Linked DNA regions of Stegostoma tigrinum. The protein of the gene in region 3 purifies or fractionates together with the protein of the main gene of each other region. This does not show direct contact. Links are inferred from orthologs where the notes say so. Each region holds a gene or a part of one and is shown on either strand. Other genes may lie near its edges.

What was found.
Region 1: the proteins of lrwd1 (region 3) and orc4 purify together in Homo sapiens (affinity purification with mass spectrometry; 3 studies listed by BioGRID and IntAct, with this or other methods). This does not show direct contact. The link is inferred for Stegostoma tigrinum from reciprocal best matches to the Homo sapiens genes LRWD1 and ORC4.
Region 2: the proteins of lrwd1 (region 3) and orc5 purify together in Homo sapiens (affinity purification with mass spectrometry; 4 studies listed by BioGRID and IntAct, with this or other methods). This does not show direct contact. The link is inferred for Stegostoma tigrinum from reciprocal best matches to the Homo sapiens genes LRWD1 and ORC5.

What each region holds. Positions count from the first base shown.
Region 1 is NC_081360.1:83,672,340-83,680,303, forward strand, and holds the start of orc4 (origin recognition complex subunit 4), read right to left. Parts: upstream 3,045-7,964; 5' UTR 2,953-3,044; intron 2,300-2,952; 5' UTR 2,154-2,299; intron 1-2,153. UniProt on the Homo sapiens protein: Component of the origin recognition complex (ORC) that binds origins of replication. DNA-binding is ATP-dependent. The specific DNA sequences that define origins of replication have not been identified yet.
Region 2 is NC_081378.1:23,171,865-23,179,332, reverse strand, and holds the start of orc5 (origin recognition complex subunit 5), read right to left. Parts: upstream 3,033-7,468; 5' UTR 2,929-3,032; exon of another isoform or gene 2,748-2,928; intron 909-2,747; 5' UTR 900-908; coding exon 789-899; intron 1-788. UniProt on the Homo sapiens protein: Component of the origin recognition complex (ORC) that binds origins of replication. DNA-binding is ATP-dependent. The specific DNA sequences that define origins of replication have not been identified yet.
Region 3 is NC_081380.1:9,118,171-9,126,008, reverse strand, and holds the start of lrwd1 (leucine-rich repeat and WD repeat-containing protein 1), read left to right. Parts: upstream 1-4,815; 5' UTR 4,816-4,905; intron 4,906-7,838. UniProt on the Homo sapiens protein: Required for G1/S transition. Recruits and stabilizes the origin recognition complex (ORC) onto chromatin during G1 to establish pre-replication complex (preRC) and to heterochromatic sites in post-replicated cells.

The DNA.
Region 1 (7,964 bases), on a different chromosome or scaffold from region 3:
TTAACTCCAACCTCCCAAAGTGCCTTGATTCTCTACAATTCTCCCATTGTCACCATTGGTCTATGGCAGATGCCTTACACTCAACCCCAGAACATCTGAATAACAAGGACACCTATGTCCGACTCCCATTTACTGGCTTGAGCTCTACCTTCAACACTAATTCTAGCCAACCTCAGCTCCAAACCAGAGACCTAGCACTCGGCTTTCCCCTTCTGTAACGGGATCCTGATCCACAGTCTGCAAACTGTAAGGACAGGCGACAACACCTCCTCCACAACAATCCTCAACACTAGTGCCCCACAAGGCTGCATACTCACCTCCTTACTATACTCCTTAAACACTCGCTACTGTGGCCAAATTTTGCTCTAACTCCACTTAGATGTTTGCTCATAACACCACTGTAATGGGTTGGATCTCCAACAATGATGAGGCAAAATACTTGAAGACGACAGAGAGCTTAGTGGCATGGTATAAAAGGCAACAATCTCTTTCAAATGTCAGCAACATGAAGAAGTTGGACATCAACTTCAGGAAGTCGAGTGCAGGACATGCCCCTGTCAATATCAATTGTGCTGAGAGGAGAATGGTCGAAAGCTTCAAGTTCCTAGGAATAAATGTCACCATTTATCTATCCTGGTCTATCCACATTAATGCTACAGTCAAGAAAGCACACCAACTTTTCTGTATCCTCCAAACTCGGAGGAAATTTGGAATGTCCACATGAATTACCAATTTTTATAGGTGCAGCATAGAAATTATCCTATCTGTTTGCATCACGGTTTGATATGGCAACTGCTCTGCCCAAGACTGCAAGAAATTAAATGAGTTGTGAATATAACAGTCCATCACACAAATTAGCCTTCCTTTCACTGTCTCCATCTGTACTTCTCCCTGCCCTGGGAAAGCAAACAATATAATCAAAATTCTGTCCTACCCTAGTTAGACTCTCTTCCACCCTCTTTCATTGGGCAGAATATTCATAAGTTTGAAAACACATAGCAACGGATTCAAGAACTGCTTCTACACTACTTATCAGAGTTTTGAATGAATCTCTCATACATTGAAGTGGTTCCTTCTCTGTTGCTATTACCCTGATGTCAGATATGATTTGTCTCAACAGTAGTTTTCACTATTTCAGCACATGCGACAATAATAAATTATGCCATAATAACCCTCACGTTAAAATTCACAAAGAGCAGAATATATTCAAATTAAGAAAAAAAAAAAATCACAAGGCAATTTCACACAAAATATTGTTCACAGACAACCATGAAACGAACTTTGCGGCAACTGTAACAAAAACTAAAAGCAACACTGACTAAATAATAGAGGAACCCAAGATTGAATTGCAGAATTTTCTTCCATCTTGAATTCCTCAGATAATAAAACTCCAAGGTCACAGTTTTAATCATCATCTAATTTCTGCAAAATTAATTTTGACAGCAACTAGTTCAACATAATACTGAGCTTCCATCCAGTCCTCTTCTCTCTATTTCACCAATGTGTAACATCAAGTAACCATCAGATGATGCTTCTCTCAGTTTATAAAGAAATCCAGAACAGAAAACCAGCAGCATGACCCTGTCCAGCAATTCTTTCGCTGACTGCACCAGGCTGAATCCTCTAGATTCCCTACATTGCTACAGGATGTGCACCATTGATCAGAGGCTGCTTTCCTTCCGGCATTCTGCTTGGTCGTCAATAGAAAGACACATTCTTCTCTTAATTACATTCGGCGGCAACCGTTCAAGTGTGCATGAAACACTTCTTTCTGAAATCTGAGACAGAATGTCTGCCCAGAATCAACCCCAGCAGATCTTTGTATCAGGCAAAAAAATTTTCTACGTTGCTCTTGTCTAACCTCGATTTGGACGACTCCCATTTCGGTTACTGAACTGAACAGATTACAATATCTCCACTAAACAATTTTACCTTGAACTAGGAAACGATTTCAAAATAAAATCGCTTTATACCGTATCATTCACGACGTAATTTGTTTTACGTAAAGTTAACTCGAGGATCGGATTTATATTCGACCATCAAATTACGAAAGAACACACATTTTAAAATTGCATATAAAGTGGTTCACGACATTTGATTTAAAGGCAGGCAAATCCTTCTAGTCATTTCAGCAATTACAATGATACATTTACCGTTGAAATTCGACAAGCAGAACCGTCCGTGTCACTAACTACCCTCAGTAATGAGTCTTCAGAATTCAGCGAAAAAAACCCAGCGATACCTTCCTCCAAAAGTGCCCAATGAGGTAAGCTCGCTGACGAAAATCCGCCGATGAAACCTGCAACATGAAAGAAGGCATTTGGTCCGCTAACAAGCATCAAGAGTCGATAGTGACAAATCATGCGATCAGAAAACGAAACCATGAACACGTTACACCAAATACAAATACAAACTCTACGTCGTGGAACAAATACAGCGTTTATTGTGACACAGGCACAATCAACAGAAAATGATGGAGGCATCAGAAAGCTCCCATAAAGAAAGGGGAGGATTATATTGTCCAGATTTCAAGTGCGGCTCCTTCATCAGCCTCTCCACCACTACTTTACCGTCTCCCCTAAAAAAAAATTTAAAAACCCAAGACCAGAACACGAACAACAAAAATTGAAAATTTCTAGCCGTTCGATGAGGGGACGTCGGAACACAGAACAAATGCGTAAACCCTTGTGATAGAACAAACTGCTGCCTCCCAAGCTTTTAAAAAACCCTGAATAAGATCAAATACGTTTTAAAAGAAAAAAATTCTAAATAAATAAAAGTGCGAAGAACACATAACAGGCGACAGGTGATGGAAAAGCTAGAAAACAACAGGTGAGTCAAAAATAAGGACCAAGAGTTCTGAACCTAGCGTGATATATAAAACATAAATAACTTTGTACACAAAATAATAAAAGCACCATATTTAAAGTGCATCAGCCAGACCACAAATACCTGAGCGAGGCCCAGTGGCTCCAACGATTACTCAGGTAACCACGACTCCTTTTATATAGTCCCACCCACCGCCCTCCGCTCTCTGACCTTTGATGACCTCCCACCTACACGTCACACGACAGGGTCCGCCCTATCTCCCCTTCCCCGGAGCATTCTGGGTAATTGTGTCTTGGGACATGCGCAGTGCGCCGGGTATTTTCAGCTGCAGGTTTTTTTTCCTCTCGTTCTCTCTTGCCCCGCTCCCTCTGTTTCTCTCTCCGTGGCTTTATCTCTCTCCCACCTTCTGTGTTTCCGAGTAAAGCCTCCATAAAGTCTCCAGAAATAAAGCGGCCGATTCTCCTTTTTGTTATTATGAGTCTACATTCCCAACCGGATACATCCCGAGCGTCTGAAAAACTTCCTGGATACCTCCCTTAACAACCAGCCGACCTCCCGGGCCTGGCCAGCAGCCTTTTAAGTGCCATTTCAGCCCTTTATTACCCTTTGTTTTTGAGTTTTTCTGAAGCGAAAGCTTTGGAGAGGAGAGAGTTAAAGGTAAGTGGTTGCAAAGCAAATCTGGCCTTTTTTATTTAAAAATCCGTATTTTATTAAAATGAAGTGCAGATTTTGGAGTATTATATAAATATATCGCTGTGTTGAGAATGAAATCTTATTGAAGTTGGGAGTTTAGGGTATAATTTTTTGATATGTATATTGCAGGAGAGGGACGTTGCTGGCTCTTGAAAATGGGGTTTAATCTGGTTTAAAGCCTTCTATTTATCCGCCCCCTCTTTGCTGCTGATGATGATGATGCTACGTTGCAGGCCACGGCCATGCGTGACTGCTGTTTACAACAGTCCAACTTCAGCTCTTGTGGGTATCAACCCCGCAGTAATAAGAAGGGTTGTTCCATCCTGATGCAATAATGTGTTCGTATTTGGAACCTCTGGAGAGTGTTTGGAGTAGGGTCATCAATATGGTACACGAGTTCTCATCGACTGGTAGTTAAGATACCGTCATGTTTGTGATTTTTCATATTTTGCATATTTATAGGCCCAATAGGATGTGGAGTACAATATGTAGCGTTTTAGCCCTAAAGAAACGTTTAGAGTTGAAGGATTTCAGTAGTTTGGTCGTCTTGCACGCCACTGTTATATTTTTATGACAAAAATACGTGAAATTAGTGTTTTAACAGTGCACTGATAGCTAGAGTTAAAGGATGCAGTAACTCATTGTGTGGATAAATATTTTAATTTTTCAATGTAATTGTTGAAATGATCCCTCAATGTGAATCTGCTTTTCCTTGAAAAAGTGCTGCCTTTTTTAAAACAAAGAAACTTTTAAATCATTTTTAGATGCATGTGAGAGATGTATTTCGAATTTGTATGTTGTGTATAGCAGCAAATAATAGTTTAATAGTTTAAAGTTTCATGTTAATGTTCTGCAGTTTTGCTTGTTTTGAAATGAGAAATTCACAATACTTTTTTTGCAAGTTGCTGAAATATGTTTTGTGTTTGTGAGTACTATTAATATCTTCTGTAGGTCTAAATTAAAATTTAAAATTATTAAACTTTTCCACATTTCTTTAAGTTTTCCATCTCTTATTCTCCTGGTTTTTGCTCTACATGAGTGCCAGTAGGCTGATTTTTCTACTCCTGGAAGGAAATAATAGATGTAATGGATGTGTTTGACAGGTACGATCTCTTTGGGGTTTAGATGGCTCCAACCAGATATAGTGAGGGAAATTTGAAATCAGATGGACCTTGTGTTTTAAATTTGGTAATCTGTTACTTAAACTAATCGGGTCTGCATTATTTCAACACGCTGTTAATTTGACCAGCCAACTTATGGCTTTCAAAAGATTGGACTTATTATTGTGCTCTGACGTTTCTGCCCATTCGACTGCAAATAACTGTGAAATAGCTCGATATGTAAGTTGGTCCTTGCTCAGATGAGCATTTGTGATGAGTTGCAACTTTTTAGCCTTTGCATGTACTTAAGAGTCCCTAGGCCTTCGTTTTGTCCTTCTGTACCGATCTTCATTGGTGTTGAGTAAATGGGAAGTATGTCTGAAGTGAGCATTGGGCACACAGAAACCTTAGAGTTTTGTCTGTATTTTTCAACAGCTTGATTTGAAGACTGTTCCTGCCATTCCTTAGTTAGGAGACTTGATGATTGAAAACTAAAATCATTAATTTATTTTTGTTCTTTAAAATTTGCCAACTCTACAGATCTGAAAAATAGATATAGGTGGTTTTAGCTGAGAGTACTTCTGAGTACTTTAATTTGGTTTCTTATTCTGCTTTTCATTTTATTTTAGCTCAAATGAGTGGTAAACATTCTTGATATAACAATATATTGTCAAGTTTAATATTCCAAAATGACTTATTTTTACATCATTTTTACTTCTACGTATGTCAAGTGGTTCAGTTAGTTTTGATCAGTGTTAGTCATGGTAAATAAATTTAACAGAATTATTGATACATGTAGCAATGTTTATTATTTTTCCAAGTTTATTAAGCATATGTTGCGTTTTCACTTTTCATAATCAGGAAATTTTAAATGGAAGGTTGGAAATTTGTGAAGCTTTTAAAACTTGCATAAAACTTAAATAACATGCCTTGGAAAAGTAGTATAAGCATCTGCATATATATTCTTCAAAGTATGTTATTCCTGTTTTAACTCTTCTGAATGACCTGATGTTCATTTAACACATGTTCTCCTATATGTGTTATGATTAATATATGCTATCTTCTGTCAAAATGAAGACACTTAATAATTGATGGTACAATCTTTAATGGAATGCACGCTAAGAAATGATTCTCTTCAGCTGGGGCATTTAAAATATGGGATGACAGCTATAGAACAAGGGGTTGGGCACTTTGGATTAAGGTGAGCAGCAGTTTCTTCACTCAGCCTTTAGGAATTGCAGAGAGAGAGAGAGAGAGAGAAAGAGAGAGATGCAGATCCTCTGTCATTCGGTATGTTTAAGACAAGTGTCGATGGATTCCTGGGTTACAAAGGAAATTCAAGATTGAGTGGATAGTGTGGGATGGCAGAGTTGAACGAGATCTTGATGGATGACAGGCCAAGTTTGAAGCGCGACATTACCCATTCCTATTTCATATGTTCTTATGTGTACACCAACCTATATTAGATCATGTTGTTTATTTACTAATGTAACTTTGCCTTACTCAAGTCAGCTAATGTTCATTGCTCAGTTTGGTTTTGTTGTAATTATATTGCCACAGCAATATATCTAGAGACTTCGATCAACATTTCTCAACACTCCGATTTTATGCTCGGCACAGTCTTTATTTTGGGGAAAGACAGAAAGGACATACAGACTTAAGAGAAGTAGTTGAGGTTTCAGATTGACCTTTTGTCAGAACTGAAAAAGTTAAATGCGTAAAAAAAATTTAAGGAAGCTCAGTGGGAGAGAAAATGGGAAGTGAAGACAAAAAGGATGATGGTGCAAGGGCAAGAGTAAAAAATAAAACATGTTCTAAAGGTGGTGAAAATGGGGATAGCAGAATCATCAACAATTTTTGTTTTTGTCCTAAAAAATGAAAGCAATGTGAAATTGAAGAAGGTCTGTGGAGTCTGGTAGCTATGAAGTACCTAATCAAAAGATAAGGGGTTGTACGTTGAGCATTGAGAGGTCATCGTGGGGATCAAGTGGAGAAATGAAAACAGCCGTAAACATTGGCACTCATATATGGGCAGAACAGTGGTGTTCCACAAGGAAGTCACCCAATCTATAATTATTCCAACATAGAAGGAGCCACATTATTTCCAGCAGACACTAAATTGAAAAGTTTCAAAAGAAATTGTGTAGATGAAGCATCTGGATACTTGGAAGAAGGCAATGGCAGAGATAAAATGGCATAATTATGCTTGCTTGATGGGGAGGTTCTGTAATGAGGAAAAAAATTGTTCCGTCTCTGTTGTCCCCTTTTGGTTTCCATGTCAGAACTGTGAGGCGCCTTTGTTCTCACCACACATTCAACGAGCTTTCATATCTTTCAACATTAGTGCCACCTCTGCCATGAACTCCTTTCCAAACATATCTTTCCCTTCTCTTTCAGCATTTCAGAGTCCGTTCTACCCAGGTCCATTGTTCATTTGTACCTGACTTCTTTTCCCTTCACATGAAAAATCTGTGGTTTACTTCTATACAAATTCATGAAGCAACTCACCTTGAGAGATATTTTCTACAATCAAATTGAGAGAATCAAAAACAACATGCTCAAGGGTCATAAAATCTTTCCTGACCATCCTACTTTGATGACACTGAAGCAACTGAAAATTAATTATAATAAATCAGAGGTCTTTTCATCTGCGGAGCATAATGTTGGTAATCTTTCATGTGGATTAAGCTGTTATATTGTAAAGGACTAAAACTGGTGCCTTTAATTTGTAAACCATTTTGAATTACATGCTTCTGTCATGGACATGAGGCAGACCAGTTTACATGCAACATATGGATCTGTCAAGGAACTGAAGAAATATTTAAAAGTAGAGGCTATGTATTTGAAGGAAGAATATTTTCATTCAGTAGGTGACAGTACATGACTGATTAGTGTTTTTTGGCATGCTCATTAAGAGGTGGAAATAAAGTTACTTCTTGTACTTAACGATCTAGTATTAATTTAAATCGATTCCTATTTTGTATGCTGTGAAGTACTACAGTTCCTCGCAATGTGCTGTTAACCTCGAGATAAGATCTTGTGTATTTAACAATATTTCAGTTTATTGATATGGAGTAGGCTGCAATTCTAGATTTATTTTTGTTTATTCATGGAATGTTCTGGGCAGTTTATTGTGGATTTGGAAAGTGTGTGTATATTAACATTTGAAAGGGACTAATAAGGAAATTAACTTCTGACCCTTCTTATCACACTGTTTGGACATCAACATGACAGAAAAGGTAAGAAACCTGAAGCAGCATTTCACTTGAAATTCCTATTTAGATATGTTTTCAGTTATAGCCAGTATATAGGAATTCTGCAAGTCATTATCACGAGATGCCA
Region 2 (7,468 bases), on a different chromosome or scaffold from region 3:
TAGTTTTTCTCACCCACGGTTATCTGAAAGATAGGCTGTGATTATTAGTATTGCATAGTAAATTAATGAACTGTATTTATTCAAAGCACCCTGGAAACTTCAGATTTTTTCTACCAATTATCTCCCATCCAATAAGACTAATGTACAACATAATCTATCATGATAACTTTGACACAGAATAACAAGTATAAAGCCTAATTTAAACTAAAGAAAAACTTGGCAGAATGAGTTAACAAGCATTGGTAAAATTGCTGTATTATCGACTGCAGCACCAACCAACTCTGCACTGACAGCAGATGCAAAGAACAATGAGATTTCAGAATTGAAGGCCAATGTCAAATGATGCACGAGATGCAAGAACAAGTGTGAAAAAAATTACACCATCTATCACAGGAATCCAATAACAATGATGCTAACAATAATGAAGACGATGATGAAGGTCCACATGCTGTTATCCAATCAGGATGTTCGGACAAATCATTTGGTAATTCAGATGGAGGTTCGTGATTTTGAAGGAATTCAATATTAAGTGTTGTAGTTGCTTTATCATTTCATTAATATTGAACAAAATTGAATGTTTACATTAATACAATATAAAATAAATATTACTGAATCAATTTACATTCTTTACTGTTATCCATTTTATTCCTTACAATGGTCGTTCCTGGGCACAAATTAAGCATGCATGTAAATCCCTCAAAGGCATGAACAGCAAAGGTCCACCTCAGAATTTTGGCCTAACAATATGGCATCAAAATTCAGCCAATTCATTTAAAATACAAAATTACCTCTCCCAGTATTGATTGCAGAGTTAAAATCTGAGGATCCCGACAAATCAATTTCTCTTTCAGTAAGAGGATTCTGTCTTCTGGATATTCACCATGATTAAGTTTAGACATCTTTACAAACTGTAGGAACAAAGTTCTCCCTTAGATTATAAAATATAAATTAAACATATTGAAAGATTATTCTCACTATTTCGTATAGGTATCAACTTACGCAATTATTGATGCTTTGAAGAATGTGATACTTTGTTTACCTACACTATTCATTTTCAAAATAATTTCTATGGTGTAATGTTGATAGAAACAGATCTATCACATTTGGAACAAATAGGACACCTAAACCTTCATAATAAAAGGCTTCCATTTTTGAATAATAGCAAATCAGGTTGCAAACAAAATAACGGACTGCAAATTTCAGTCATAAAGACACAGTACAGTAATGGCTACCTCAAGGACAAGAGGACAGGCATAACACGGATCCCGTTCTTGGGCTATCCTGTCAGGAGATTAGTGTCTGCATCCTGCAAATGTATACAAGATGCCTAAAAAGGCTCTTGTGGTGCAGCGCTACCTCTGAGCCAGGAGGCCTAGCGTCAAGTCCCATCTGCTCCAGAGATGTGTAATGACAACTCCAAACAGATTGATAAGGAAGTATAAATAAAAACATATGCGGTATTCAATGAATCAAGTCTTATGTGGCATTATTTAATTTGTAGACTTTTTTCGATCTGCAGCCTCATTCTTCCTCACTTTCGTAACTACAATGAGCAATTATATAATACTTTTAAGCATCAGAAAATATGCTAAAGCATACCCTCATAGAATCAGATTCAGCAAAACAAAAACATCATGAGGTGCACTTGAAAGATGAGGTGGAAGATTTAGTACGCATCTCAAAAAGTTCAAAGTTAGAAGTTAGATGCAGTTAGAAGTAGAAATCTCTACAGCTGAGGACTGAAGGCAATTCACCAACGGTTGGGCAAAGAGAGAAGACGGTGCACAGAAGTCAGAGTCAGAAGAGCATGGAAGTAAAGCAATGACATTAAGGAATTTCGAAACAAGAATGAGAATTTCAAATTAATAATACAACAAACCTGAAACCGAAGCAATCGTAGGCAATTCTGATTTGTGATTTAATCGGTCATGTTTCTGCATCCAAATGCTCAAACATTTACTTAAATATTTGTAGTCAGCAGTAATTTCCAAAATTTCCATTAAGACTTAAGTTGCAACATAGTTCACATTACATCATAAGTAAAAATGAGCTGCATGCATCAGAAAATTATTTACTGTCTCTCAAACAAAGAAAAAAAATTGCAGATGGCAGAAATTTGAAATAACAGGAAATGCTGGAAATACAACAGGCCTGACAAAACATGTGCTGAGCAAAACCAAGTAAACATCTCAGATGTTTCCGATCAGAGTAGGACAAAAGAAAAAGTGCATCAAGTTTTCAGCAAGTGAAAAGTGTCAAGGGCTGGAATGAGTAGTTATGGTGGGAAATATAATCAGAGGGAAAGTTTGTAAGAGGGTGGAGCATAGCAGAAATACACAAAATTTTTTTAAAAAGCAAAAAAAATGTAAAAACCAGGCAATTAAGATAGAAGAAACAAATTGGGATTCCTCCAGAGTGAAATACAAAAGTGAGCATTCTCGGCAGAACACCAATTCCCCTTGCTGTTTTGAATTGTCAGCACGAAAGCTATAGGAGTGTTTATTTTTAAAATTTGCCTGTATAAAGATAAAAACGTTTGCAACTAAAACATATGGGGAGGGAAGTTGTTCAATCTAAAAACATTTTGTGTAAAAACTCAAAACTCTCGTGTGAATCCACCTTTCTGATTCCATTTAAGACGCCAAAACGTTTTGGGGAATGCATCATAGGCTTTAAACAATTTAACAGTTAACGGATCGTTTAAGAAAAAAGCCAACCACCTACAGCGGCCGCTAACTTGGTCTTACTTGTTATTTTCCTCACTTGGACCAAATCTTCTTAATGTGAATTGTTATTATTTTTTAAAAGAAAAACACGTCACAGATTAAAATCAGCTTCATACTCCAACGGGTTTGAAATCACCTGGCAATCTTTTGTTCGATCCGCGGAAAGCACGGGGTCATTTCCCCACACTAGCCCGGCACTCACCAACCGTAACCATTAGTCAAAATTACCACGCGACCCCAATACCGTCTCCTTCCCGGGTTAATCGGACTCTCACGCGCCAAAACCTCCTTCCATGAACTTTCACCCCACCACCCGCGATCCTACTGCGCAGGTGTCAGAACACGCAGCACACTGGGACTTGTAGTTTGTGGGCGGAGGAACCCAAATTCATTTAAGAAACGAAAACAAAATACTGGAAGTTCTCAGCAGATCGAGTAACATCTGTGGAGAAGGGAATCAGAGCCAGCGTTTCGTTTCAGTTATCTTTAATTCAGAATTGTGCAAAAAGGTTAGTAATGTAATAGAAAGAGTTCAGAAGAAACTCAGTAGGTCTGGCCGGATGAGTGGAGAAAAAAAGTTACAATTTCAGACCTGCTGAGTTTCTCTGGCATTTTACGTTTTTCGTTTCAGATTTCCAGCATCTGCAGTTCTTTGTTTTATTCCAGAAATCTAATAGGTTTTGAGGAAGAACGTGGGCGCAGAAAAAGGAATGAAAAGGCAGGACTCATAGACTGCAAAATAGCACAGCCTTATTTGTAGTATAGTTAGTCTTGGAAGTTTTGCTTGAAGAAACAAGGCAATCTTCAGCAATGTCAAAGTTGATTGGTTTTAAATATATCTGAGTAGTGTTCGCGTTTTTTTTTGTTCATGATGTTTACCATGGTTACTGAGTGATAAGTTAGTCTTCAATGTCATTCTCCCTTTGATTGAATTTTTGTCTCTTTCATAAGCAGTGCCTTAGAATTGTGGATGATTTGCTTTCACTTTGTGTTCAATGGGTCCTGAGGTAGCTGACAAGTCCATTTTTCAGACTCGGTGACAAATGGGGTAGGTGTGCTTCGAAGGGTAGAGAGATGAGCTGTTGGGAGATTTGTGCACTCACATCTCTGGCTCCTCGACTACCTTTATTCATTCCCCTTAATGGGTTTGGTATTTTCCCAATTGAGCCATCTCTATTTTGGTCAGTCAAGCCAAGGATTTCTATGAGTCTGCTTGGACACTTTGCCTCTTCGGAATCATTCAAGGTTTGCCCTAAAGTATTTTCATTGTCCTCCTGCAGGGGGTGGTGGGGTTGGTTGCTCCTGCTACCACTAATTACCAAGTAGAGCAGTAGCTTTAAGTGAATATTGTTTGGCTTATGAACAAAATGTTCTGTCCCTGCACTCAGTCAGAATTTTGGGTGATTAACACCTTGATATTGGATACAGGCCCCAAGATGACATTCCACATTAAGCAGAGGTTCACCTGCACATCTGCCAATGTGGTATACTGCATCCACTGTACCCGGTGCGGCTTCCTCTACATTGGGGAAACCAAGCGGAGGCTTGGGGACCGCTTTGCAGAACACCTCCGCTCAGTTCGCAACAAACAACTGCACCTCCCAGTCGCAAACCATTTCCACTCCCCCTCCCATTCTCTAGATTACATGTCCATCATGGGCCTCCTGCAGTGCCACAATGATGCCACCCGAAGGTTGCAGGAACAGCAACTCATATTCCGCCTGGGAACCCTGCAGCCATATGGTATCAATGTGGACTTCACCAGTTTCAAAATCTCCCCTTCCCCTACTGCATCCCTAAACCAGCCCAGTTCGTCCCCTACCCCCACTGCACCACACAACCAGCCCAGCTCTTCCCCCCCCCACCCACTGCATCCCATAACCAGTCCAACCTGTCTCTGCCTCCCTATCCGGTTCTTCCTCTCACCCATCCCTTCCTCCCACCCCAAGCTGCACCCCCAGCTACCTACTAACCTCATCCCACCTCCTTGACCTGTCCGTCTTCCCTGGACCGACCTATCCCCTCCCTACCTCCCCACCTACACTCTCTCCACCTATCTTCTTTACTCTCCATCTTCGGTCCGCCTCCCCCTCTCTCCCTATTTATTCCAGTTCCCTCTCCCCATCCCCCTCTCTGATGAAGGGTCTAGGCCCGAAACGTCAGCTTTTGTGCTCCTGAGATGCTGCTTGGCCTGCTGTGTTCATCCAGCCTCACAGTTTATTATCTTGGAATTCTCCAGCATCTGCAGTTCCCATTATCTCTGATATTGGATATAATGATTTCAGACAGGACATTGCTATTGAATTGTCACTGGATTTGGAGGACCTTGCGAAAGCTCCACTGATGGTACTTGAACGATGTTCTCAGTTGCTTCCTACATGTTTTATATGCTCCAAAGCATGAAAGTGTGGTATTCACTGGTGCTCAGCAAACCATGATCTTAGTTTCATATTTGAGATCTCTGCTTCTCAGATACTTTTTTCAATACACCATAGGCTGAGCTGGGACATTGTAGGTGATAATAGATGTCATAATCTGTCTGCCTTCATCAAGAGGAGGCACCCAAGTTATATAAAATGGTTCATATTTTACAGGATTGTGGCATTGATCTTAATCGAAAGGGAGAGGTGTTGAACTTTGAGAGCTAGTAGCAAAGGGTCCTTCGTTTAAAATGTTAGAGCTACAGCTCCAGTCAGTTGCATCATTTCTGTTTGTTAGATTTTGGCTCAGCCGTATCCATTTCTTTTCTCAGCAACATCAATTAGCATCAACAAACTTAATTCAACTTTATATTATCCTGAATTGAATCAGCTGTGGGTGTGTTTCAGTGTAATAGTAAAGATTAAAGAGTTTCTTGTTCTTGAGATATGTTGTTGATATCAGAAATAAACTGTGTTTTAATTACTGTAAATTGTTCTGTGGGCTGAGGGACTTACATCTGGCTATCAGCACCCACTATTATGAGTAAAACATTGTGTTAAATTGCACACTTACTATTGTTGTCAATTTCGAGTTAATCAGTAATTAGCAACCATACAATACAAAAATTATAGACTTGTACTTTCTTTAGAGCTTTCATGACCTCAAGATATTCCAAAGCGCATTAAAGCCAATTAAATATCTTTCAACATGGACCTGGATCTTTGAAATGAAAGAGAATCTCTTCATCATTGTGAAAGTGGCAAAGGAGCCCAAAACTCAGACAATTAACCCCACCCACTGCAGCCCAAAAACAACATTCTCTATTCTGAGGTAGCATCAGCTTTCCTGCTTCTCTGATGCTGCTTGGCCTGTTGTGTTCATCCAGCTCTGCACGTTGTTATCTCAGATTCTCTATTCTCTGCAGTGACTCAGGTTTGTGAAAAGCCACTTGCCTCTCTGATGAAGGGTCTAGGCCCGAAACGTCAGCTTTTATGGCTCTCTGATGAAGGGTCTAGGCCTGAAACGTCAGCTTTTGTGCGTCTAAGATGCTGCTTGGCCTGCTGTGTTCATCCAGCTATACACTTTGTTATCTTGGATTCTCCTGGTTTAGAGGTCTAAAGTTTGTGGATTTGTTTTTATATTGAGAATATCTTTTTGGAAAGGTAGGGTATCCCTTTAGGTATAGTGCAAGGAGACCTTTTGGTAGAGTCAAATTGCCCTTTGGGAGAGGTAAAGTGTGTGTGTTCGACTTGTTAAAAGTAGACATGAATGTACACAAAAGGTGCGCAGCTCATTCACATTGAGTCTATTATAATTGTCAACACAGCTATCAAAAGGAAATGGCAAATGCGTTTGTCAAAAAAAAAGAGGAACTGTGAAATGGAGCTTTTGTGATTTTAAAGGTGTTTAAAACACCTAGACTTCCGTTAATTGAAAACGTATCGGCACGTTTTTAAAAAATTCCTTGCTGTTTCACTCTGCCTATTGGCATAAACCTGAGGGTTACCAATATCAGGTTGGTGCTGCTTAACTGATTTTACAACCTTCTTGTCATGACCACACTTCAGACATACACTCAGAGTGGTCTGTGATCTAAGAATTCGTACAATCTTTTCTGTAGAGCTGTTTCAGTTTTTGACTGCTTTTAATTTAGTTAATCTGTAGCACAACTTTGTGTTTTTAACAAAGTAAAATGTTAATTTATAAAACATTTATTGTTGGAAAATATTTACATTAAAAAATTACCACATTATTAGATGAAACACAGATTTAAATATTTTAAGTGAGTAAGATAAAAGTTACATGTTAAGATAAAAAAAAACCAAACTCCAATTTCATTGCAGGTCTGACTTGATTGAAGATTGTTTTTCTTAAGTGGTGGGTTTGAAAATTGAAATTAAATTCTGCAACTTTGGCTTCTGGAATCCAGTGGTTGGAGGTTGTTCCCATTGGTAAACTGAGATGAACAGATCCTGTGTGTGAGTGGAGACTCCTTTCATTCAATTTTATGGCATTGCAATTTGTGCCTCTTGGTTCTCAGGTTAAGATACAGTAGTCTCTGTCTCACTGTTCATAGCATGTTTCATAATGGTGCTCAGATGATTCTCTTGAGATTTCTGCATAAAATGGTTGATCACAGCTGGACTTTTATAAAGTTCCAAAACGTAAAAATGGCTGTTATCCCAAACTGTTGAATCATGCTTCAAGTTTCCAGGCTTTGGTTCTTTGATACTACTTAAATTATCGATCCCATGATTCTTAAGTAAATCTTTCCACAGTATACCTGATAAATAAAATATAAAATAAGAGGTGCATTCCTT
Region 3 (7,838 bases):
ATTGTTACGTAACAAACAGAAAATAGATCTAGAAGAGAAAGCTCTGAAACAGAATGTATATTTTCAGATGTGTCTTTCTGTAAGCAACTTCTTATTTATCAGTTCATTGCTTAACTGATGAAGTCTGAGACAGGGATGAATAATCAATCACGGGAAATTTAACCACCCTTCAATAAAATGGCATAAAATGTCAGTTAGAAATGCAGATTCCCTTACAGGCTTAAACAGGCAAGGGACTGACGACAACAGGTGATCCACTTTGGATTTTGGACCAGGAGTCTCAGATTCAAGTTCTACCTACTCCAGAAATATGCAATACATCTCTGAACAGGATGATTAAAATATCTTTTCAAAACGAAAAAGGCTGAGTTCGTAGGCTCATGTGATACAGCAGTGGTGTTTGAGCCAGGAAGCCTGGGTTCAACTCACAGCTGCTCTAGAGATGTGTGATAACATCTCAACAGGCTGCTCTGAAAAACAGCTGCATTCTTGCTACGTATGATTTGGTTGTGGGCTATACAAAAGCAATAAGTTAGTTCTCCTATTTTTGCTGTACTAAACTTTGTGGCATTGCTTCTAAATTATTAATTGTTTAATTAGTGACACAGCTGGTTTGGTGGTGGTTTAAACAAAAAAGCTTCATACAGAGGGTGGTGCGTGTATGGAATGAGCTGCCACAGGAAGTGGTGAAGGTGGGTACAATTACAACATTTAAAAGGCATTTGGATGGGTATATGAATAAGAAGGGTTTAAGGAGATATAGGCCAAATGCTGGCAAACAGGATTAGATCAGTTTAGGACATTTGGTCAGCGTTAACAAGTTGGACCGAAGGGTCTGTGTCAATATTGCATAAGTCTGACTCAATGAAGGGTTCTTGCAGCATAGTGTAGTGTCCTACCTCTGGGCCAGGACATCCAGGTTCAAACCCCATTTGCTCTAGAGGTGAGTATAACAACTCTGAAGAGATTGATTAGAAGATATAAAAAATACTGGTTCTACACCAACATCTTCATGATTTGAGACAGGTCAGCACTGCAGAGGCTGGACTGAATTATTTTCTGCTCCTTCTCTTCCTACATTCCCTATTTTCGTAGTTGCTGCACTTCTTATTGTGGGAGGATCTTGTTAACTGTTATTGTTTAGTTGTTTCAACTAGTTATTGGTGGAGAGTTATCAAAAAGTGCTCGGTTCTAAGAGTGCATGTTGTGCAATGGTAGTGTCCCTACCTTTGATCTAGGAGGCCTGGGTTTACATCCCACCTGCTGCAGACATATTCAGTAACATATCTGCACAGAATGGTTTGACAAAAAAGAAAAAGCCCAGTTCTGACCCAGGAAGTCTTAGGTTCAATTTTCACCAGTTCCAGTGGTACACAACACCATCTCTGGACAGGCTGAAGCAAAGCAGCAGGGGTCTGAGCTAATCAATTATTACTAAAAAAAAGGCCAACTTCTCAATGGGGCCTAGCATAGTGAGTGTTTGCATACAGCACACCAAAGCAATCATAAACCATAAACCTACGGACCCCCAAATCTGTTGTTCATTCACTGCTTTGGATTCTGTGGGCCATGTATAAGTTGGGTGTGGGCAACTGCACCCAGTTGAATTACCTTAGAAATCTTTTGCTGCTCTTTTGATTGCACATCAGTCCCACGCTCTTGATCTTTGGGCACCCAGTCTCCAGGAGTGTGGGCACAGCAGGGGACTTCCTACAGGGCGCGGCCAAGGTGGTTATCAACAGATCCAGGTTAGTTGGTTTTAATTCTGCCTGCCTGCCCCAGTGGTGAACTTTGGGTCTGGATGTCCTCAGTGAGAGGGCGCAACACACTTAATGCCTTCAGAGCGGCAGACACTAGGTTCTGGGGTTTTTGAAGTGGGGGGGAGCAGCTGGAATGCATTATATCCCCTTCTAACTGCACGTTAGTCCCCTCCCCTATTTTTGTTGTTGTTACATTACCCCTGTAGGCAGTGTTGTTCAAGTGCTGTTTAGTTGATAGCTTGGGTGATTTGGTAGGGGGTTTTTTTTTAGGAAAAAAGGGGAACCTTCTCATTTCCAAACAAGTTGATAAGAAAATATTTAAAGTAGTCAGGTTGATTTGAAGGTGGATTTCAAAAAAAAAATCAGCCGAGATCTTTAGGGCTCTTTTGGTGATAGGGATAGTGTCCTTCCCTTTGAGCTGGAAGGCCCAGATTCAATTCCCAACCACTCCAGAAGCATGTCACAACCCTGAGCAGGTTGATTATAAAAGACAGTAGAGTTCTGAAACAGGTGAGTTGGTGGGAGGTATGAAAAAAAAAGCTGAGTTCTAAAAGGCTTTCGTGGTGAAGTGGTAGTAACCATACCTCTGATATAGATGTGTCATAACATGTCTAAACAGATTGATTAAAGAATATCTAAGAATGAAGTTCTTTAGGCTTTTAGAAAAAGACAGCTACTGCTTAGGCTGGAATTCATTATCTCTTCCACCAACAATATTTCAATTTAGTTCCTACCCTCAATTCCCCATCTTTTCGTTTTGTTGGTGCAACAGTTTGACAGTGTTTGTTATTTGTTAGTTACTTAGTTGATTGGACATTGGATATTTCAAAAATGAAAGCTGAATTCTCGAAGCATTGAGAGAGAAACGTACACTGCAAGGCTTTCAGTGCATTATTTCTTCCTCTGATATTATTTTTATTTAATCCCCTCCCTTGTTATTATGGAGAGTATTTAAAAAAATAGGTTGATAGGTATTAAACTTTCAAAAGCCAAGTTCTTTCCCAGTTGGATGTTTGCTTCAGAAGGAAAAGGGGGAAACAGGAGTTTGTTCTACACTACAGATCTACAATAAAACATTTTTGTAAAGTCTGGAAGTCTTTTGTTGCATATGTACACATATTGGAGTTCTTAAGAATGTGTGCAGTTTCTTACAGAGACTGCAAGATCCATATTTTCTTTCACACACTGGGATCAGCTGGTGCCAGCAAATCTAAAATGCTAGCTAACTCAGCAGTTAGTATTTGAGGGACCAAATGCAACCAGTTCTTTTACATTCTGGTTGACAGTGCTGGCATTTTATACATTTACTTTGATGCTTGTTGCATTTTTTTAAAATAACTGCCAATCCTCAAAACAGGATTGTGGTTTAATGGTCACAAATATCTTAGGCAAATACTGTCAGTCATAATAACATAGAGCTACAGGAAGAACGTCAAGCCCTATTTCTAAGTTTAAAAATGCACATTCAGCATTTAATGTGGACACTGATGTGGGTGAAAATGCCAGCACATGGGATTTACAAAGAAGCATTATGATCAGAATCAACTTGCAAGATTAGGATTTCAAGACTAGGGGACAATTTTTTAAGGTGACAGGAGAAAGATTTAAAAGACAAAAGTAGAGGTGTAGTGGACAGAGAAGAACATCACCTCACAGTACAACAGGATCTTGATCAGATGGGCCAATGGACCTAAAAGTGGCAGATGCAGTTTAACTTAGATAAATGAGAGGCGCTGCATTCGCAAAGGCAAATCAGGGCGGACTTATACACTTATTGGCAAGGTTCTGGGGAGTGTTGCTGAACAAAGAGACATTGCAGTGCAGGTTCACAGTTCCTCGAAAGTGGAGTCACAGGTAAACTCAGTGGTGAAGGTGGGGTTTGGTATGCTTGCCTTTATTGGGCACAGCATGGAGTACAGGAGTTCGGAGATCACGCTGCTGCTGTACAGGGCATTGGTTAGGCCACTTTTAGAATACTGTATGCAATTCTGGTCTCCCTACTATAGGGAGGATGTTGTGAAAAAGTTCAGGAAAAATTTACAAGGATGTTGCCAGAGTTGCAGGGTTTGAGCTATAGGGAGAGGCTAAATAGGCTGGGGCCATTTTCCCTGAGGCATTGAAGACACAGGGGTGACAATATAGAGATTTATAAAATCATGAGGGGCATGTATAGAGTGAATAGACAAAGTCTTTTTCCTGGGGCATGAGAGTCTAAAACTAGAGGGCATAGGTTTAAGGGGAGTGGGGAAAAATTTAAAAGGGACCTAAGGGGCAACGTTTTCCATGCAGAGGGTGGTGCGTGTAAGGAATAAGCTGCCAGAGGAAGTAGTGGAGGCTGGTACTACATTTAGAAGGCATTTTGGTGGGTATAGAGTGGTTTGTGTGCATAAGAGGTAGATGCAGGTACAGTTAGTCAGAATGTTTAAAAGCCATTTAGATAAGTTCATGGATAAGAAATGTTTGGAAGGATATGGACCACGAACAAACAAACAGGTGGGACAAGTTTAGTTTGAAATTACGGCAATGGTTAGCATGGACTGGTTATACCAAAGGGTCTGTTTCCATGCTGTATGTCTTTATGACTCTAATGCATGAACTGTCAAATCTATCCATCAAAACACAGTCAGCATACTATGGGGCAGGGGGGGTGGTGGTGGTGGTCAGGGGACGAACAATGGATTGATGAAATCAAATGTGCTAGTTGATGGAGCATTCTACTTTGTGATATGTCATATAACAGAAATTTTACTATGATATAAAAAGCCAAACAAGGAAGGAAGCACTGATGAATTTAACGATGGGAAATATTAATTATAATGGTTAAGTGCTAAGTATAGGGGAGTGTCTAGGAAGTAACAAAAATATAATAAAAAAGTTTCAAGGTAAATATTGAACAGGATCATAAATAAGATAAAAGGACTGTAATATGATCTTCTGTGTATAGCAGTCAAGTAGTAGGTGTAACATTTCAAGAATGAGTGGCCAATTAACCGCATGTCAACAGTATAAGAGAGATTATACTCTACTCAAAGATAATCTGGAAAAATACCAAGAATCTGAAAGTCATAAACACAGTCTCTATGGATTCCAAAGGGAAGATCATGCCTGAACCAGCCTTATTAAAAATTCTGAACAGCAAAGGCAGGTAAGAGTAAATATTTAACTTAATTTGCATTTTAATGGCCTCATTAATCTGTTGCACTACTTTGAGCGATTTTCAAGTTTGCATCCCTCGATCGAGGTTTAACTGCACCATTTAAACTGTATCTTCCCAGGGAGTATGTTGCCTCCTTAGTTTTCACTACAAAAACATTCTAACACACCCCCACCTACATTGTAGTTTGTGCGCCAATTACATACCTATTCTGCAAGTTTTATTTATTAATGTCTTCTTGTATTGTCACCATCCTCCAGTATTAACTATATCCAACAATTTAGTGTCACATTCAATTTGGTACCACTAATTGTGTTCATGTTTGTGAACCTGTGAGAGATACTAGCAACACACTTTGTGGAAGACCGCTTCCCACATTTTTGACAATCTGAATAAGTAGTTTTAACTCACATCTCATGATGGGTGTTTTGTGATAAGCTTGCTTTCATACTGCCTCTTTTCCCTTAACTCCACTTGTCTCGAGTTATAAGTCTACCACACAAGCTAAGCAATATCTTCACATCGTCTACTGCTGACTCCAAAACACACAGTGAATGGAGTTTAGTAGTGACAATCATTGATTATGAGACACATACATTAACATTTAAGTAGAATTCTTTTTATTTTCTTTCAGGGGATGTGTGTGTCACTGGGAAGACCAACATTTGCTGTCCGTCCCTAATTATCATTGAGACATTAGTGGTGATAACCAAGTGGCTCACTAAATCGTGTTAGGTGGGTAGCTAAGAGTTATCCACATTGTTGTAGTTTTGGAATCAGATGTAGGTCAACCCAGCTGAAGGTGGCAGATTTCCTTCCCTAAAAGACAGTAGTGTACCACAAGGGTTTTCATAACAAATCAGTAATAGTCTCACAGTCACTGTTACTTAGATGAATTGCAACTCTGAAAATGAAAAGCTTTTAGCACTTTTGTAATGCTGTATCATTTTCATTACCATTTAGATAGATCATACTGATTTTGCCCTGCACAACTGAAGCATATAATAAATAATCTACAGATTTATGACATTGTTGAATAGCTTGCAGTTATCATGTTGATGCTAAGACAGTGTTACGTTCTCGAGACAAGTGTGGATGCTTTGTGTTGTGACTTTTTGATATTGCAAATTCTGATATTTCAGTTAATTATTCAATTTAATTACTTAAGTTAAATAACGATGCATGTCAAGAGTTAAAGAGATGATAGTGAATGAAAGTCTAAGTATGTCCCTCATGTTAAATAGTGCAAGGTTTTGAGAATCATAATAGCACGATTAATTTGGAGGTTGACTTTAAATTGTGTCTCATGTCTTGTTCAAATTTGAGATCAGAATAATAGAAATCTGAGTGTATTATAAGGCCAAGCTGTAACAATGAATTCAGAAACCCTAAACTACAATGTAGAGAATCCAAGCTGTATAGAAATGGCACCAGAATTCTACAAAAGGGCTGAACCAGCAACTTGCTGTGAAATAAAATGGCGGTGTGAAAACCAGCAACTGTTACCACTTTTAGTAGTCAAACTTAACTTAATTATATATTTACATGTGAATGAGGACAGGAAAAGAACTACTTCTGAGAATCATTTAAACTACTCCTAATTTGTGCACACATTGGTGATCAAACCACAAATCTGAGCTAAATAAAAAAAAAAGACTGTGGGTGCTGGATTGAGTTTCGGTTTCTAGAAGAGGCCAGTCTTGTAGGAGCCTAGAGAGATGTTTGCAAGAAACAACAACAGAAAACCACAGTACAGTCTGATCCTGTTCTCTCTGGATATCCATATAAATGGGCTTCCTAGCAAGGGTCAAAGGACTGATTAACTCTCTTTAGCACAGAGAAAATGGGGTTAATTTTGATTGCTGTCTTGCTATTATTAGGTGAACTGGCACAAACTGTGGATTGATACGGGAACATTGTGTAGTACAAAAAAACAGGCTGGTACATCCTGCCAAGGCATCAGGCAGCATATTCACACTTTTATTCAATAAACCATTACTGGGATAGTTTATAACAAAAGGTAACAATTTATTTGGAAAACAATCCAGTTCAGTACCCTCTTCACATGCACTATATATCCCAATCAGACAGGCGCTACCCATCCCCAGTGTTGCAAAGGATGGGTCTTGCCTTGTTGCCACAGAACACCCCACATAGTTGGGCCATTCCATACCACCTGTCCTTAACAGAGACCACAAGTCCTTCAGGACTTGGTCAGCACGTAGTGTCCTAGAGATCCTGCAGGGAAATGATAGGGTAGATCCTGTCAGGTTGTTCTTGACCAGACTGTCAAAGTCACTAGGCAGAATGCCTCAACGCCAGAACTTTCTAACAAGCACCAAGACATCACTTGGCTGGTGGTGAGAAGGGCACTACTTGTGAAATCCTTCACGTATGCCCAAAAAAGATGCAGTGATTTTTGTCGAGGTTCATCCTGAGCAGCTCCATGATGCAGGATTTTGTGCTATAGGTTGCACACCAAGACAAACATTGACAGCTGTGCCTGTAGGATCATAAACTCGGTGAAAGACACTCTTTGGCCTGCCCAAAACTTGTTGGTCTTCCAGAGCAAGGAGTTGCCTTTGACTGAGTGTTGCTGACTGGCACATTTTAAGGTCCAGGACTACGCGCTGAAGGACACAATAAAGCCTGGGGCAGCTGCTGCCAAGACACAGTCAAGAAAGGCCATCGTCTAAAATCTTTCTGCAGAGGTTAAATTGAGGTCCATTCAGTTATCGGATCCTCCCAATGCCTCACATACATATAAATATCATCCTGTACAAGTACAAAATGCCTGTGGTTTGTTTGTTGGATAGAGTCAAACTCCAGTGTTTGTTTCTTCATACGCTACTATACAGAACCAAACTGCTTCAGTGACTATGTATGCATATAAAGGTATTTTTAAGAATAAATTATATTTGGGA